Linked DNA regions of Arabidopsis thaliana. The protein of the gene in region 2 interacts with the protein of the main gene of each other region in a pairwise test. Each region holds a gene or a part of one and is shown on either strand. Other genes may lie near its edges.

Evidence for each region.
Region 1: the proteins of TCX2 (region 2) and ASML2 interact in a two-hybrid assay, tested with the Arabidopsis thaliana proteins (one large-scale study listed by BioGRID).
Region 3: the proteins of TCX2 (region 2) and BT2 interact in a two-hybrid assay, tested with the Arabidopsis thaliana proteins (one large-scale study listed by BioGRID).

What each region holds. Positions count from the first base shown.
Region 1 is NC_003074.8:4,097,164-4,101,483, forward strand, and holds ASML2 (activator of spomin::LUC2), read left to right. Parts: upstream 1-2,035; 5' UTR 2,036-2,059; coding exon 2,060-2,407; intron 2,408-2,510; coding exon 2,511-2,642; intron 2,643-2,738; coding exon 2,739-2,903; intron 2,904-3,003; coding exon 3,004-3,114; 3' UTR 3,115-3,371; downstream 3,372-4,320.
Region 2 is NC_003075.7:8,479,587-8,486,863, reverse strand, and holds TCX2 (TESMIN/TSO1-like CXC 2), read left to right. Parts: upstream 1-1,887; 5' UTR 1,888-2,038; coding exon 2,039-2,101; intron 2,102-2,281; exon of another isoform or gene 2,282-2,526; coding exon of another isoform or gene 2,527-2,529; intron 2,530-2,533; exon of another isoform or gene 2,534-2,749; coding exon of another isoform or gene 2,750-2,755; coding exon 2,756-3,421; intron 3,422-3,522; coding exon 3,523-3,881; intron 3,882-3,967; coding exon 3,968-4,039; intron 4,040-4,124; coding exon 4,125-4,305; intron 4,306-4,391; coding exon 4,392-4,487; intron 4,488-4,583; coding exon 4,584-4,650; intron 4,651-4,742; coding exon 4,743-4,890; intron 4,891-4,969; coding exon 4,970-5,342; 3' UTR 5,343-5,769; downstream 5,770-7,277. Other genes in the region: NET1B (kinase interacting (KIP1-like) family protein), read right to left, coding at 5,770-6,795, 6,891-7,277. UniProt on the Arabidopsis thaliana protein: Plays a role in development of both male and female reproductive tissues.
Region 3 is NC_003074.8:17,906,988-17,912,912, reverse strand, and holds BT2 (BTB and TAZ domain protein 2), read left to right. Parts: upstream 1-2,174; 5' UTR 2,175-2,441; coding exon 2,442-2,600; intron 2,601-2,677; coding exon 2,678-2,820; exon of another isoform or gene 2,821-3,024; coding exon 3,025-3,328; intron 3,329-3,600; coding exon 3,601-3,941; coding exon of another isoform or gene 3,942-3,999; exon of another isoform or gene 4,000-4,283; coding exon 4,284-4,431; 3' UTR 4,432-5,146; downstream 5,147-5,925. Other genes in the region: CEP3 (Cysteine proteinases superfamily protein), read right to left, coding at 5,543-5,815. UniProt on the Arabidopsis thaliana protein: May act as a substrate-specific adapter of an E3 ubiquitin-protein ligase complex (CUL3-RBX1-BTB) which mediates the ubiquitination and subsequent proteasomal degradation of target proteins.

The DNA.
Region 1 (4,320 bases), on a different chromosome or scaffold from region 2:
GCACCAATAACAATAGCCAAACACAACTTGCAACAATTGCACTTTGACCTTCTTCTTTTTTCTCTCTTTTCATTTTATCCAATTCTTTCATTTTTATCTCCCTTTTTTAATTCAACAACAAAAAAAAAAAATCTAAAATTTTGTAATAGTTATAGCATACATTGTTTAAGAGTAATTAACTGTGTAGATCAGTCTTTGTTTGAGGAAAAAATGAATGCTTCTTTTTAGTGTAGGATAATTAAAGGTAGGAATATTTTCAGATAACAAACAAAGATCGAACTAAGATATCAGTTTCGCTTTAGCTTAACAGAACACATGAAAGCAAGATTTCCCAAGAACAACTTTTTAAGTTTGAACAAAAAGCCACTAAGTAACTCATAATTATATACATAAAAAAGGTATCAGTACTTTGAAGGCATTCGGACGCAGAGTTTCAGATATTGATGATTTACTATTCCTGGGGAATGCTGATGAGATTCTATTTTTTAAGAGCATAATTAAATCCACAAGTAGGATAAGATAAGATCAGCTATGGTAGAGTTTAAAAATATCATATGACATGTAACACTGACATCTTATGATGTATAATTTGAGATATTTGGAAGATCTTCTTTTTTCTCATAAAATATTTCATTGTCTAGTCCATGGGACGAGTTTGAAGTTAAGCAGATCATGGAAAGAGAATCTAATATTATGAAGTTGTACAATTTCACTGAAAACAAGATAAAGGGAAGAAAAACATGTCTCCCTTTAATCTTTGAATGCATATTCAGTCATGTCATGACTGACCCATCCATCATCTTTCTTCGAATCTCCTATCTCACTGAACATGTTTGGAGGCAGCCTTCCGTATTTTATATCTACACTTATGATCTCCTATCTCTCCATCACCCATATTTGATTATATTTTTCAACATATTAATGTCTCAATTTCCCATTCTTATTAGTTAAAAAGGAAAAACAAACCCTAACTCGTGGTGATTCAGTGGTTGAAATTTTTTTCATACGGTTTAAATGGCAAAATTCTTCATAGATCCCGGAGATTATACGGAACTTGGTTTATAATTCCCGGCTCGAAAGTTTAAGCATTGGCGACCAGAGTTTAGATATCAAATCTTGTAAAATACGCATGCATGGTTGTCATGCAAACGTAGTATTATGATGTAACCAGTGAATCTAAATTGGACTGAGGAGGTAGGGGGTAAATAGACACACAAATCTAAGTTCATATACATTTTTGCTTAAATATTTATTGGTGGATTCAAGTCATGGGGGCTGTTTTGTACTTGGAGTAATTTATAATGTAAACAATCGAGAAGAACATGTGTTAAGATTCTGGAGCTAGGCGTAGGGTTTCTCTTTACGTAGTTTTCATAGCGTGTGTATTTGTGTACGGCCCTTTGAAATAACGCGAAAACATTTATTCTCGGTTTTTAAAATTCTCTTTTTTTCTGTTTATTGAAAAAATGACGAGACACGAACATTGGCAACTAAGGACAATTGGTGTGGCTTAAATTAGATATCTAATTATTCGGCTGTGCTCCATTGTCTAACGTATCACAATTCGACAGATGTATCTTAGTATCTACAATATATCAATTATTAAATTCGATGACTTAAGCTGTTTAAAGTTTCATTTTCTCGTAGTTGAAAATTTTACAAAAAGAAATGTTCTTAAGGGAGATAAAACAAGCACAATGGCAAATCCGAAAGAAGGATAGGTGGATGAATGTAGAAAGAAAAGTGCAAAAATTAAACGAAAATAGAAACAGTTAGAACATAAAAGGAAAAATGAGCTGGTAATAATTAAGATGTTTAAGTTAAGAAAATGGCTTTGACAGCATGAAAAGAGAGTGTAAAGAAGTTATTAACAGAGCATAGAGTCTCACTAACTGTAAGTTTGGTGTTTTCGGTCAGCCCAATTTGTGTTACGGTCAGCCTGCCCGAACCCAACAACTTGTAACATCCTCACACAAAAACTCCTCTCTATGTTTCCTATATATATAGACACTTGCACACACTCTCATTTCCTCCCAAACAACCCCAAACTTATAACAAAATGGCATCATCTCTTCCTCAGTTCTACGCTGATTTCACAACATTTTCCTGCGAGACTTCTTCGCAGTTTCACGGCTCTTCTTCATGTCCTGACGTGGACTCTTCGTTATCCAGCTACCTCGACGACTGTTATGGCTCCTTCAACACCTCTTCTAATCCAGAATCCATCTTTGTACCCCAAGTCTTTGGGATTTCTGACGTCTCTGTGCCTGAATACAACAATTATTACCAGAAAATGAGTGTGAATAATGCCACACATTACTTTCATGGTGGAGATCATCAAGAATACTACGGCTTTTCACCGGAGATCAAGCCCTTGTTCCGTCCGGCCACAGGAGAGCAATCTTGGGTACGTATATATTCACGTTTGAAAATCTTATAGTTAATATGAGAGACATTTAATATATACGCATGCAAGAAACGAAATAAAATAAATATTTTGTGTGAAGCAGGGAAATAGTGAAGGAGGGATACAAGCTGAGCCAAATACAAAAGTGGGACGCTATTCGGTGGAGGAACGTAAAGACAGAATCATGAGGTACTTGAAGAAGAAGAACCAACGCAACTTCAATAAGACCATCAAGGTACGTATACATATACATACTACACTCATTCTTATTTAGTTTAGTTAATTACATATTCATTTTTGAATGTTTTCAAATGATTATGTGTGTATGCAGTATGTGTGTCGTAAAACCCTAGCCGACAGGCGTGTTCGTGTTCGCGGCCGATTTGCTAGAAACAATGACACATGTGAAGAACAACCTCACATGTCTAAGAATCACAACAACCATTCTGAAAAAGAGGAAGATATGTTTTCAGGATCAGACGACTATCTAATCCAGGTATTTATTTAATTATTCCAAGACACTAGTATATTATTATATGCCATCATTACTTGTAATTTGTAAATCTAATTAACCAATGCATCCCAATTTAAAGCAGATGGAACACGATGACGGATGGCTTCACGAAGCAATGTCCAATCTGATTCCTTTTCCTTGTGAATTTGACGCTCCTGGAGATGCTCATCATCCAACCAATTGGAGCTTCTGATGTCACTACCTATCTCATTTACTTCCGAATCAATTAATGTCTCTAGATATTAAGTTTCATCAGTTAGTTTAGTTTTACTAAGCAGCTTATTTATTTTATGGTAGATTTATCATATTGTACTTAATTGTTCTTGGGGTTATTGAACATGAAGATTCTGTCTAGTGAATAAATAAAAGAACTTTACGTACTTATAATCATCATATCTAATTATGACGTGAGGATAATTTCAGCCAATGCAGGCAATCTCAATACAAGAGCAAGTTTTTATGGTTTTTGGATTTTTGTGTTCTTCAAAAAAAAAAAGTTACGTTGATCTACTTTACCTTTTTCACAGTAAATCAAAGTTCATATCATGTGGAAACCAAAAAGACGATTCTAAGAGGGGTAAAAAGTTTGTTGAGATTATTTAAGGCAAACAACATCTTTTTACGATATGCGAATAAATTGGGTGAGTCGATAAGAGATTAATTACTTAACTGGTGGATTCATGGAACAATTGTGTATTAAGGAATATATGATGCAATTTTAATCATAAGACGAATGACTTAACGTAACATAGCTTGTGGCGCCCTTTCTTTTCTTTCTTTCGTCGATGCTTACATATGAATGGATATAAAGAATAATGCCGATTAATTGGTCGTAACAAAAACATAGAAACATGATAAGTTGTACACAAATTCTTGCAATGATAGGTAAGGAGCTAAAGAATGCTGTCTACAAATTAAAGAATCCAATTATTCATTATAGGGATTATTATTATTGATGCATGAAAACATAGAGAGAGTGGAGATGAAAGACATGATACGGAACCAAGTTCCAATCACTTTTTAAGACATATAATTCTTATAACAAACATAATAAGGCTTCAAAATCTGCAAATTATATTCTCTGAAGTTGTCCCCTTTATTTTCTGCTTTGACGAATATATGTGAAGTTGAAGGCTGAAGCCCTCTCATCTGCTTTTTTACTTTTCCACTTTTTCCTTCTCAGCACACCTCTAGTGGTAAATACATGAAAATTAGGTACCTAACAACAAAAATTGTTATATGTGAATATTTTTGCAAACTTCTTTTTCGATGATAGTGAAATCCGCAACAAGAGAAAATAGTTGTAACTTTTATATTCAAGATAAAATCATCACTATAAATCATGTGCTTTATGATCATTTTAACTGCTTGCTTTGATCATTTTTGAAAACCGGATTTA
Region 2 (7,277 bases):
TCACTTTTACATAATAATAAAGTGACAATTTTTTATTTTTTTTTAAATTAGACTATTTACAACAATATATATTCGATAATGATGTAATTCGAACAGAATTCATACAATTATCGTTTTAAAGTAAATCTTATATCACGAAAAAAAACATTCGAACAGAAATTATTATGCCATTTTCGTCGTGTGGTCTCTCTTTGACCAATGCAAAGAGAATGGATGGTAGACACAAGATCTGGGTTACATGTCCACGTAGTTCGACGTTCGGACACCGTAACTTGCGAAGCCAATTTAAGTCAACGACTCAACGTCCATCCACGTGTCTGTCTACCATCCATTAGATCCCACCATCTCAATAGCGCACCATAACAAAGTAAACCACAGCGTACATGAACTACTCTTTCGTTATAAATCCATTTTCCCGCCCATTGTCACATAACGCCTAGCTGTCACTTTGTTAATTCCGAAAATACCCATGGGGGAACATGATGGCTCCTAGATAAGGACATGGATATAAATGTAAATTCGGTAAAAAATCACGTAGTAACAAAAACGTAACCCCACCGGCGATTTTATATTAAATTCTTAGGTCTTTTAAACTTTAAAGGCGTTCACGGGGAAGGCATGTTTTTGGCTATTTTTATTAATATCTTGTTTTAGTGGAAACATTTAAAATATAATACGTGAAAAGATGAAATTATTTTTATTACCATAGCCCGGCACTTTGTATTTTAATTACCACATTTTAGATCACAGTAATCATGTTACTCCTATTTTTGTTATGATCGTGAATGATAAAACATAAAATGTGTATATACAACCGACTTTCATGATCTAATGATCACATGGAGACAGTTTTAGTGTACAAAAATAATAGACACATGCAATCATTTCTTTTAGGTAGATCTTAATTATTTGTTAGAAGCGTGTACAAATAATTACAAAGTATTTGTAAGAGAGAAACTATTTGAGTCAAACAGATTGGTACAAGAATGTCTATGACAAGAAAAGGCAATTTTATGCAATAATGTACATGATTTATCGAGCGTTATTTAGTCATTAGTGTAAATCATAATTTATTATTCTGAATAATTGACCATAAACGCTTTCTCGTGATTAGCAAATCTAGTGACTACTGATATATAATTCTCCCAGTTTTAGCCTTATAATGTGCTACTGACCATAAACAATCCTCTCTGTCAGTCGTCAGTCTTTTAATTCTCTCTTCTTTTTTTTCCTCTTATGCACTAAAAAGCGTGCATTACTGTTTCGGGTAATTTTATTTTTTTGTTTGCTAACAAATCCATAAAATTATGATATAGCGTATAGAGAGACATATTAAGCGTGCATGAACTAAGACTTGGTTTTTTCAACGTTATTAAACAAAAAAAAAGACTTTCAACGTTATAAAAACAAAGACGTATTCATTGTTAGTACTTAGTGGCAAATTGCATTGTAAATAAACCACCTAACAAAAGAGAGAAAACAAATTTTTTTTTTATTGCATAGAAACAAAAGAGAAGCAGCAGCAGTGAATAATAGAACTGTAAAATTCTCAAATTCCTTATTCTATTATTTTCTGTCCACTAATAATAACTAAAACAAAAAAGAGAAAAAAGGGAAAAGAAAAAAAAAACTGATGTCCGTTACTTTATTAAAAGGTTTAGGAATCGAGAGAGAGTATATTACTTATACTTGGACTTAGATTGCAGACAAAGCAAAGCATCAAAGATTCATTATTCACTGCTTATACATACACAGATACATAGAGACACTTGTTGTATATAATACAGAGAAAGAGAGACAGGTGTTAGGGCAAAGTTGATAGTAGTGGTGGGTCTGATTTCTGACATAGTCCCCATTTCCCGCCTTTGCTATTGTTTGAATATCTCTCCTCCTCCTCCTTCTTCTTCCACTAAAGACATATATAGAGAGAGAGAGAGAGAAACTTAATAAAAGACTGAGACTTTCCTCAGAGATAAGAAAGAGAGAGAGAGTGACACTGTGTTTGTGGATGTGATTTTTTTTGTTTGTGTGTTGGAAAATGGATACCCCTCAGAAGAGTATTACTCAGATCGGAACTCCAATTTCCAAATCCAGATTCGAGGTTTTTCTTCTTCTGTATAACTCTAATAATTGGTTTGGTCAAAGTTCTGTGTTTTTGTATTTTAATGAAATGTTTTGCTGTTTTTTTGTGCCAATTATCAGATTTCTCTGAATTCTTTTCTAATTTATTGTCATAGAAATTCAGATTTCATAGGTTTAATGGACCAATTATTCAATTCATTTTTTTACAAAAAAAAAAAAAAAAGTACTTTGGTTTTGTGTTTGAAGTCAATGCAGTTAGTTCAAAGACATAACTGTAACTGGTTTTAGATTTGTTTGACTTTGACGGTTTTAGTTGTTTCACATGTTACAGTGAAGTGTTGTTAATTATGATCAGTTATCTCCAATTCTCACTACAAATTCTATACTTTTTGTTTCTGTCCTGTTTTTCTTAAGATTCTTTGAATTGTGGAATCTGTAACCTTAATGGTACAAAAAAGATTCATAATTATAATGCAAATTTTAGTTGTTTTAATCTGATGGTTTAGTTGTTTCTGTCATATTATGATTATTTATCCCTAATTCGCTAAAAGATCTGTACTTTTGTTTCTGTTCTGTCTCATAAGATTCTTTTAATTGGAATCTGTAACCTTAATTACAGTACCAAAATAAGATTCATAATCTTCCCCTTTTTGTGTTTTGTCTGAAAATGCAGGATTCTCCAGTGTTCAATTACATAAACAGTTTGTCTCCAATAAGACCAGTCAGATCCATACCAAATCCTAACCAATTTAGCTCTCTGAATTTCACTTCCCCTCCCTCTGTTTTCACTTCACCTCACCTAACTTCTTCTCACAAAGAATCCAGATTCTTCAAAACTCACAACTCTTCTTCTTCTGATCCTACCAATTCCGTTGAATCTCAAGAAGACGAGTCTACTTCTCATGAAGAAGTTCCAGCAGAAGGAGAAGATACAAAAGGTCTTAACATAGATGATTGCATGCGAGAAGAAGCTTCAGTTGAAACGAATCTTGATGATTCCGTTGCTTCACCGTGTGGTGGAAATACTACTGATCTTTCGCTTGTTCCTTACGCTCCTACTCGAGGAGAGGATGGTTCTTGTGAGGATAATGGAATGGAGCTGCAGAAGATGCATGATAATGTTCAGGGGAAAACTGAAACTCCGGATTGGGAAAGTTTGATTGCAGATGCTTCTGAGCTGTTAATCTTTGACTCACCTGATGCTTCTGAGGCTTTTAGATGCTTTATGATGCAGAGAGCATCAAACTCTGAAGCACGTTTTAGAAATGGTGTGGAGAAGCAAACAATGCAGCACGATTCAAACAAGGAACCGGAGTCCGCGAATGCGATTCCTTATGAGGTAAACTCAGGAGTAATATCACAAGTAGTTATCTTCAGTGTTTTATAAATACTTACTGTCTCTAAAAGAGTTGTCTTCTTGGTTTTTGTTTTGTGTGATAGGCTGTTTCACTCTTGCACCGTGGTATAAGAAGACGTTGTCTTGACTTTGAGATGCCCGGGAATAAGCAAACATCAAGTGAGAATAACACCGCGGCTTGTGAATCCTCTTCGAGATGTGTTGTACCGAGTATTGGTCTTCATCTAAATGCCATTTTAATGTCTTCAAAGGACTGTAAAACCAATGTTACTCAAGATTACTCATGTTCTGCGAATATACAAGTGGGTTTACAAAGGTCCATCTCTACACTGCAAGATTCTTTGGACCAAACAGAAAATGAAATCCGGGAAGATGCAGATCAAGATGTTCCTGTTGAACCAGCTTTGCAAGAGTTAAATTTGAGCAGCCCTAAGAAGAAGAGGTAAGATTTTTTCCTTTAAGAGTAACTCCTCTGTGTAGAGTCCTTTTATCTCTGTCTTAATAACTGTTGGCATGATAAACACACAGGGTTAAGTTGGATTCTGGAGAAGGCGAGTCGTGTAAGCGATGCAACTGCAAAAAGTCCAAGTGTTTGAAACTGTAAGCTCCAAAGTTCCACATTTTTGATCTTTGGCCCTTCAAAAAAGTTTGGTGTTTTGAGTCTTCTGATGTTTGTGTGGTGCAGTTACTGTGAATGCTTTGCTGCTGGAGTCTATTGCATAGAGCCATGTTCATGTATAGACTGCTTCAATAAACCTATCCATGAAGACGTTGTCCTGGCGACTCGCAAACAGATTGAATCTCGGAATCCACTTGCATTTGCTCCTAAAGTCATTAGGAACTCTGACTCAGTTCAAGAAACCGGGGTAGGATTCTTTTCCCCGTCCTTTGATTCCTCTGCATCATCCATCTATCTTGCTTGAAGTTATAATAATATTGTAATGACACACAGGATGATGCAAGCAAAACTCCAGCTTCTGCGCGCCATAAACGTGGCTGCAACTGCAAGAAATCAAACTGTCTGAAGAAATACTGTGAATGCTATCAGGTTTTTATTTTCCCTCATCGATGTGCTTTCAATGGTTCCATGTGATTAACTTCCTATGGCCTGATTCCGGTAATTTGGTATGTTGTTTCTTTAAAGGGTGGTGTGGGCTGTTCCATAAACTGTAGATGTGAAGGATGTAAGAACGCATTCGGCCGGAAAGATGGTTAGCTTCTCTGCTTCTGAGTTTTCAATTTTTCATTACTAATAACCTCACATTCTCTTTCTGATTCTGATTCTGCTTAATGAATATCTCAGGGTCTTCCATTGACATGGAAGCCGAACAAGAAGAGGAAAATGAAACATCTGAGAAAAGCAGAACAGCCAAAAGCCAACAAAACACTGAGGTTTTAATGAGAAAGGACATGAGTTCTGCTCTACCTACGACACCAACGCCGATTTACAGGTAGAATATCAAATTCTAGAGGACTTTTTATGTGAGTCTATATCACCTGAGTAGCTGAGTTTTTTGTTTTTTTTTTCAGACCAGAACTGGTTCAACTACCTTTCTCATCATCTAAGAACAGGATGCCTCCTCCACAGTCTCTTCTTGGAGGTGGATCTTCCTCAGGGATATTTAACAGTCAATATCTAAGAAAACCAGACATTAGTTTGTCTCAATCCAGAATCGAGAAGTCATTCGAGACAGTCGCAGTTGATGGAGCTGAACAAATGCCTGAGATTCTCATCCATTCCCCTATACCTAACATCAAGAGTGTCTCTCCCAACGGAAAGAGGGTCTCTCCTCCTCATATGGAATCATCTAGCTCAGGCTCAATCTTAGGGAGAAGAAATGGCGGGCGGAAACTGATATTGCAGTCGATTCCATCGTTTCCTTCTCTCACTCCCCAACACTGAAAGCATTTGGTGTTGTGTAGCTAAGGAAATTCTTTGAATCTTTTTCAAGGTGAAAGATGATATAAGTCAACTTCTAGTTGGTAGTAAGTTAGCACTTAGCACACTTTTAAATCTGTAGTCTAGTCGTTGTGTAATAAAGATGTCAATCCATCATGTTCTTCACAACAAAACCAAACATTTCTTGTAATATAGGTTCCTTCTCTTGAAGTTCTACTATATCGAAACATACTGTGTCTGCTTCTAAAATCCGAGTTTCTGCCACGTTTCTCATTCAACCCCAGCACTAGCTTTATTTTAAAATACATCTTAAGCTAGTTGCTACAATATTTCAGAAATCATATCATATTATACTCTTCTAGAGTCAGTTCAATGAATATCTTTACAATAATCTATGAAAGACTAGATGTAATTTACCTTATGAACCACCCTACTCTTCTTTAGTCGAAGACCTTATACACCCGCAGAACCGGTTTTTCTTCTTTCTCGCACTTCTTTTTCCGCCCTTATGAATAATGTCTCTCAAGAGAATCACTGTCCTAGTCTCTGAAAACATTTTCCTTCCTTTGCTTTTGGTGCCATCTTCAAGCTTCAGAACTGTTTGCTCAATGTTCTGCATTTTGTTTTGCAGCTGCTCTATCTTCTCAGACCCGCTTCTTGACTTCTCCACGACCACCTTTCTGTATATATCTCTGGCATCTCCAGTCTCTTCAATTTCCTTTGAAAGAATCTCGTTTGTGTTTTCCAGCTGCGAGACAGCTTCTTCCATTTCTTTCAACTGTCTCTTCACTATAACCAAATCAGCGTTGCTGAATCTTCTTTGTTTCTCATTCATCTCCAGCTTTCTTTTCAGATCTGTTAGGCTAATCCGGAGACTTGACAGTCTCCTTGAATCAGACAAAAGTCTCTCCAGAATCTTTGCCTTGTCTTCGATGTTTCTAGATAACTCTAGTTTGTCAACAACTCCAACCGCTTTATCAGATTCTATAGAGGGATTCCGGCTTTGATGACGGAGATTGGAGTTCAATGACCTCTGCGGTTTGTTACTGTTGATGAGAAAGTTTACACTGGTCTCTGATTCAGCAGATTCATCCCAAAACTCAAACATGTCATTGGAACCATGACTAGTTCCCTGGCTTCTGCCATAGGTCAGGGAGTCTGTGACTTGATCACGAGGATTGTCTTTCATTAATAATTCATTTTTCACCTCTGTCATCTCAGGCCTCAATCTTGGCTGTCTAGATTCACCAGTGACCTGGTCATCAGGTTGTATATTTTCAATCTTCCTGCGGTCTCTGCGTTTTTGGGAGGTGCTTCGTGTTATTTGCCTTGATAGCCTGCCTTTTTCTTTAACAAATGCTTGTTCGATGGTCTTAATACTTGGATTAATTTCCTTCAGAATCACAATTCCATTGCATGGGCTGGTGGTACTGCCGCTTTCTTCCAGATTGTTTCCCTGAAAAAAATGGAAATGTTTAGAATTATTTAAGATCGGTACAGCGAGAAAGATGAGTTGACATTTGAAATAGAAGAACGAGTGCAAAAGTTTACCACTCTTTGTTGATAGGCTGTTGCAGGAAATTTCGTTAAAGCATGTGTACTTTTCTCAAGGGCTTTTACATCCCCTGCCAAAGATGCTATCACAGGATCATAAGCTGACAACTGACTCTTCAGCTCAGTCACTTGAGACTCCAAAAATCCAACTGTTTCTTTCATCTGTTTAATCTTAGTCGTTTTCGTAACAACTTCATCATTGAGGTTTTCACAAACTCCTGAGAGTTCGTTAACTTTGTTCTCAAGAATGAGTTCACGGATAGCTGAGACCTGAAGATCAAAGTAGAAAGATGTTGCCGCAGAATCCCAAAGTCCAATCTCATTGCTTTTCTCTTGCAGCTCCAAACTCAGGTACTCCTCTCGAACCTGTTGTCGTTGAATTTC
Region 3 (5,925 bases), on a different chromosome or scaffold from region 2:
TTATTTATATATCTCATAAGGACGAGTATTAGGATCCAAATGAGACCTTTTGGTCCTCCACATATCATGCGGACAGGATCATCAATCATCACTGATTAGTATTAATGAAGTTGGCTTTTAGATAAAGTATTCAACCAATAATATGGGGAATGGACATCTCCGAGACTCCGACCAATAATGAGAAAGTTAATCAAATCTATTTATGGGTCGGACCGATCACTATTTTTCTGATGCGGAAACTTATCAACAAACTTTGAATTTTTTAGCTTTTTGTTTTACAATGAATCTATTTGCATTAATTTTAAAACTGTGTTTATAATTAAACAAGAAAAATGGTTTGAAATGATGAATTCATTGGCCTAGGACGTGAGATCAAAACGCCAACTCCAAATCCAACCAAGCCAATGTTCATTTCTCCACGTGGCGTTTTTAATGGATCAAAATCATTGCACCAAACCTAATTTCCAACAAATCAACATTTATGCGGCGAACTTACTCCCCAAATCCAACGTAACAATCGCACTATACACTTTTTTTTTTTAATTCCATAAATTTCATAGTTCTTTTTTCTCCAAATTTATAATTATAGACAGGGTCCAAAATGTTTCATGAAAATTAAGTAAAAAAGTAATTAATATTAAAAATGATAAAATATAGGTCAATTACCTAAAAACAGAGTTTTTCTTTGCTATAAATGGTAGGTTAATTTTTCTACCAACATTAAAAAAAAAAAAACACTATTATTTAGTAGTAAATTGTAGTCTTACCTAGATTGATTGAGGAATTTAATGAAATACTTTTACAAAAAAAAATACCATGAAACAATATATGTGATTACAAAAGTTAATGATCTATGCGATTAGGAAGAAAATGTTCGAAATTCAAAGCTATTACTAAGATAGTTAAAAATATATCCAAAACGGATAAGAACGTTCGATTTAAAAGTCATGTATTCATTTATCTTATGGAAAATATTTTAATCGAACACAAAATTCCGTTGACACAGATTGAGTCACACAATGGATAAACAAAAGGATCACAATTGGCAATACAAGAGGGCGTGTAAGATTGGATGAGAACAAAATGCCACGAGGGATGAGGAGAGGTGGCTCTTGGGAAGAGGCAAAGGTCGGTTTATTGCAATAACCGGCTTTTCTAGTTTTTTTTTAATAAACAGCTCTTTGACGCAAAGCCAAAAACAATATTGGTCCCGGATTTGTTCACTTTCCACATTGGATTGATAAGAAAACATAAATCTGCCTACATGGAACAAAAAGGTCGTCTTGTTTTTCGGATCACAAACAAAAGCAACCTTATAATAGTCACTTTTTTTCAGGAACGTAAATTATGCAAATATTTTCATTTTTTGTTTTCATCTTATTTTCCTAATGTTGGGAATATAATACGGACAGTGTTACACGGTGTAACTTACACCGTTGGTCCAGCTCAATACACAAATCAAATAGAACATTATCTATGTTAAATTCTTATGCATGTTACACCAAGTCGGTAATATATATTAAAAGGTTTAAAACAAATATAAGCAATTGAAATTAAATACAAAATTGAGCTTGTTAGTGGGACATTGTTTAACTAACTTCTCATGGAAATTAAACTCATCACTCTTGCTATGGTTGAGACATTGTTTAACTAAGTTCTCATGGAAAAAATGGGGCGCCACTTAAGGTATAAACCAAAATATTTGCGTTAAACCCTAGATAAGCTAAGATGCCATGGAAACAAAACACTGGGCGAGTTTTCTTCTCGTGACAATTATCATCAAAAATTATGGAACAAGTTGATCCTAATCCTAATCCTCTTATCAATATCTTTGATTGTCTTAAAGTTTTTATTTATTTTATTTCGTGATAATTGCATTGTCTTAAAGTTCATAGTTGCATAATAACTTTATCCCCAAACTTTCATGATCTCCACGGACCAAAAAAAAAAAAACTTAGGAATTAGTTTACCAAAAACTCCAACTACTTAAAATTTCAGATATTTGTTGTCAGTATTCAAATACTACACTCGGAAGTTTCGTTCGACTATGATACATATTCTCAGTTCTTTTTTGATGATTCATGGAAGATAAATTTGAATATGAATTCTCCTGTTCGTTATAAATTATTGTAATAAAGACTTAAAGAGTGATCCAGCTTCATCTCTTTATCCACAAATGCTATTCCCGTCACATAAAAATGCCAAAAAAAGAAAAAAAAGAGTGATAATCTAAGTGAAAACAGATCACGAGCGTGTTAGATAAGAATAGAGAGACGCAAAAATAAAATAGATATTTGCGAGACGCCACGTAAGCAACCAAAAGGTTACGGTAGGACCCACCTCGCTAATGTCTATATAACCAGAAATGTGCCAAAGCCTTTCTTCTTCAAACTACCAAACCTACAGAAATCTCTCTTCTTCTTCTTCTCTACAAAATTTCAATGGAAGCTGTTCTTGTCGCAATGTCCGTCCCCGCCACAACGGAAGACGACGGATTTTCGTTAATCACCGATAAACTTTCATATAATCTAACGCCGACGTCGGACGTTGAGATCGTTACCTCCGATAACCGTCGGATTCCGGCACACTCCGGCGTTCTGGTAAGTTGTTATTTATTTTGGTTTACGGTTTACATTTTTCTGGTTTGGTTTTTAGCTAAAATTTGTGGATAATGCAGGCTTCAGCTTCACCGGTACTGATGAACATCATGAAGAAACCGATGAGACGTTACAGAGGCTGTGGATCTAAAAGAGTCATCAAGATTCTTGGCGTTCCATGCGACGCCGTTTCGGTTTTTATCAAATTCCTCTACTCTTCTAGGTTGGTTTGGTTCGGTTATTCTTCTTGAATTTTCCAAATGTAGAAACTTCAAACCGATGGTTATTTCCGGTACTACACAATTTTCCCGGTTTTTCTTTTTCATACACGGATTTGAAGAAACTCTGTTTTTTTTTGGGCTATTTTCTTGGGGAAACAATAGCTGTCAGGAAATGACTAAACTACCCTTTTGCGTCTCTGTTTTAGTTTGACGGAGGATGAGATGGAGAGATATGGAATCCATCTTTTAGCGTTGTCTCACGTCTACATGGTCACCCAGCTGAAGCAACGGTGCTCAAAAGGCGTTGTACAACGTTTAACTACAGAGAACGTAGTCGACGTCCTCCAGCTAGCTCGGCTCTGCGACGCACCCGATGTTTGCCTTCGATCTATGCGTCTGATCCATTCGCAGTTTAAGACCGTTGAGCAGACTGAAGGATGGAAGTTTATTCAAGAACATGATCCTTTCCTCGAGCTCGACATTCTCCAGTTCATCGATGACGCCGAATCGGTAAACTTACTTATATGTTTTGAAAACACAGCATCTCTGTTTTTCTTAGTACCTTCGATAACACATTTTGTTCAGCTAGGTTTAGTTTTTGTTCCGCGCTAGTAAAAAGATAATTTTTTTTTTTTTAAATTCAGTTTATTTAGTTTGGCATGTTGCACAAAGTTTAGAGTATTAGTTAACTCATGTTTGATTAGATTTGGTTTATATACCTAATTAACCCCAAAACATTTGGTCATTTTTCTGATTATGTGTTGATTTATAATTTAACGCAGAGGAAGAAAAGAAGGCGACGACATAGAAAGGAGCAGGATCTTTACATGCAACTAAGCGAGGCAATGGAGTGCATAGAGCACATATGCACACAAGGTTGTACATTGGTCGGTCCATCAAACGTAGTAGATAACAACAAAAAGTCAATGACTGCGGAAAAGTCAGAGCCTTGTAAGGCGTTTTCCACGTGTTATGGTCTTCAGCTTTTGATACGTCACTTTGCCGTATGCAAGAGGAGGAATAACGATAAGGGTTGTCTTCGTTGCAAGCGGATGCTTCAACTCTTTAGACTCCATTCTTTGATTTGTGATCAACCCGATTCTTGTCGCGTCCCTCTCTGCAGGTATGTCCCAACTTGTTTTGTTAGGAATTTCACATTTGAAATAAATCAAAAAGTATGAGCGAATCCATTTACGCTTAATTAGTAAGTTTGAAATTGATGATTTTTAGTATGTTTATGAATAAAAACCAATGTTTTGTTGAAAGTGAAAAAATTTCATTTTTGGTAAGAGACAAGGTTTGTTTATCTTTTTGTGTAGACCCACCTTTAGAAAAGTTGCAAATTGCTATGTGAATTGATGATGGGTCGTAATCCGACGGCTGCAAATTGTTGCCATTTCTTGAAATTTGTAGATATTTTAATAGAATCTCATGTGTTCTTTTCAACTCTTTTTTTTGGGACTAGGCAATTTAGGAAACGGGGAGAACAAGACAAGAAAATGGGTGAAGACACCAAGTGGAAGCTTCTGGTGACAAGGGTTGTGTCTGCAAAAGCTATGACGTCGTTGTGTCAGTCAAAGAAGAACAAATGTGAACAAGCACAAGGGGTTTAATCAAAACCAGGAAGGAGTTAGTTAGGTTTGAAGAAGATTAAGTAAGAAGCTTTCTTATAATTTGATATCCATTCTTTTTGTAGTATAATAGTATTTGTTAGTTCGATTCTTTATTAGAGGGGTTTAGTTTGTATAGGAGTAAACCCTTTTAAATTGGCTGTATAAGTAGGTCATATTCAATTGTTTTGTTCTATTTATCTGAAAAATGTCAGCATGTAATACAAAACAAATAAATGTTCAAATTAAAGGGAGGATTACAAGAGGTGTTTTTAATGTTATTGACTTTGGCCAAAATTTTGAAATTTAGATAATTCTATCCGTTGTTTCGCGATTACAAAAAAGTTGAATTCAAACGTGTGTTGAAAATAAAAAAATATCGTGTTTAGCGTGATTAGTGATTACAAAGACTCAAATTTTTGACTCCCAAATATGTTCAATAATATTGGTAAGACATTAAGAACATGAACCAATAATCGACCGTAAAACATCTTTGGCGATGTTTTGGTAAAACCTAATTTTGGTTTTGGTGTGGCTTCATAGGCTTGGTGCGCCGTTTTACCCTTCTAAGCCTATGAGCTTCTCTCCCGTTGGGTTTGTTTACCCTTTTGATTTGGACGTTTTGGTTTTTGTGTTTTAATTTATGTCTTTAATTTTTGTAATCTTTTACAAGGGTTAAGTCCAATGTGTTTGTTCCCAGTTATGATCCTAAAAATGTCAATAAATATGAAAATAATTTGAAAAAAAAACATCTTTACAATTACAAAACGTCCATCTTGGAGAATTGAATTGCACTTTTTGTAATAGTAAAGATGTTTTACTGTCCATTATTGTTTTATGATCTTAATAATTACAAACACTATCCTCAAAAGTTACAATTCTTGGCCATTTTGTAAGTCAATTAAACTTGCACATAGTAAAGTATTTAACGCCATTTTTCCGCAAAGCAAATGCTGGCCAATATTACAAGGAGATAAAAATCGTCTCAATTTAAGATGAATACACGATAAATGTGTAAACTGAAACCCATGAACCTCAATCCATAAAATAATAAACTCAGTGTAAGCTCACTAGAAGAATGGTTCGAAATTCAGTTTTCAATGACTTAAAGTCTCTAGAGCTCGTCTTTAACATCATCACGAACTACTGACTCATGAGTAGAAGGAGTCGAAGAGAGCTTGGTGGGATAAGAAGCCTCCATGGCTATACCGCAACGTCCTTCATTCTCCGATATTCCTCTTTCTATCCGAACATAGCCTCCTTCTCCCCATTCAGGTCCCCATGAGTTCCTTACTATCCAATATTTTGTTCCATTTTTGGTCTCTCCATACCCAACAATCACCACCCCGTGGTTCAACTGAGTCCCGCATTCTCCGATAAACACACCCTACAGTAGAATGCATAGCACGTTTTCTATAGTAAAAACAATGTTCGGCATTTGTTGTCTCACTAAGATTGATGTTTTAGATTATGTTCACCATAAACTTATATTCAAAA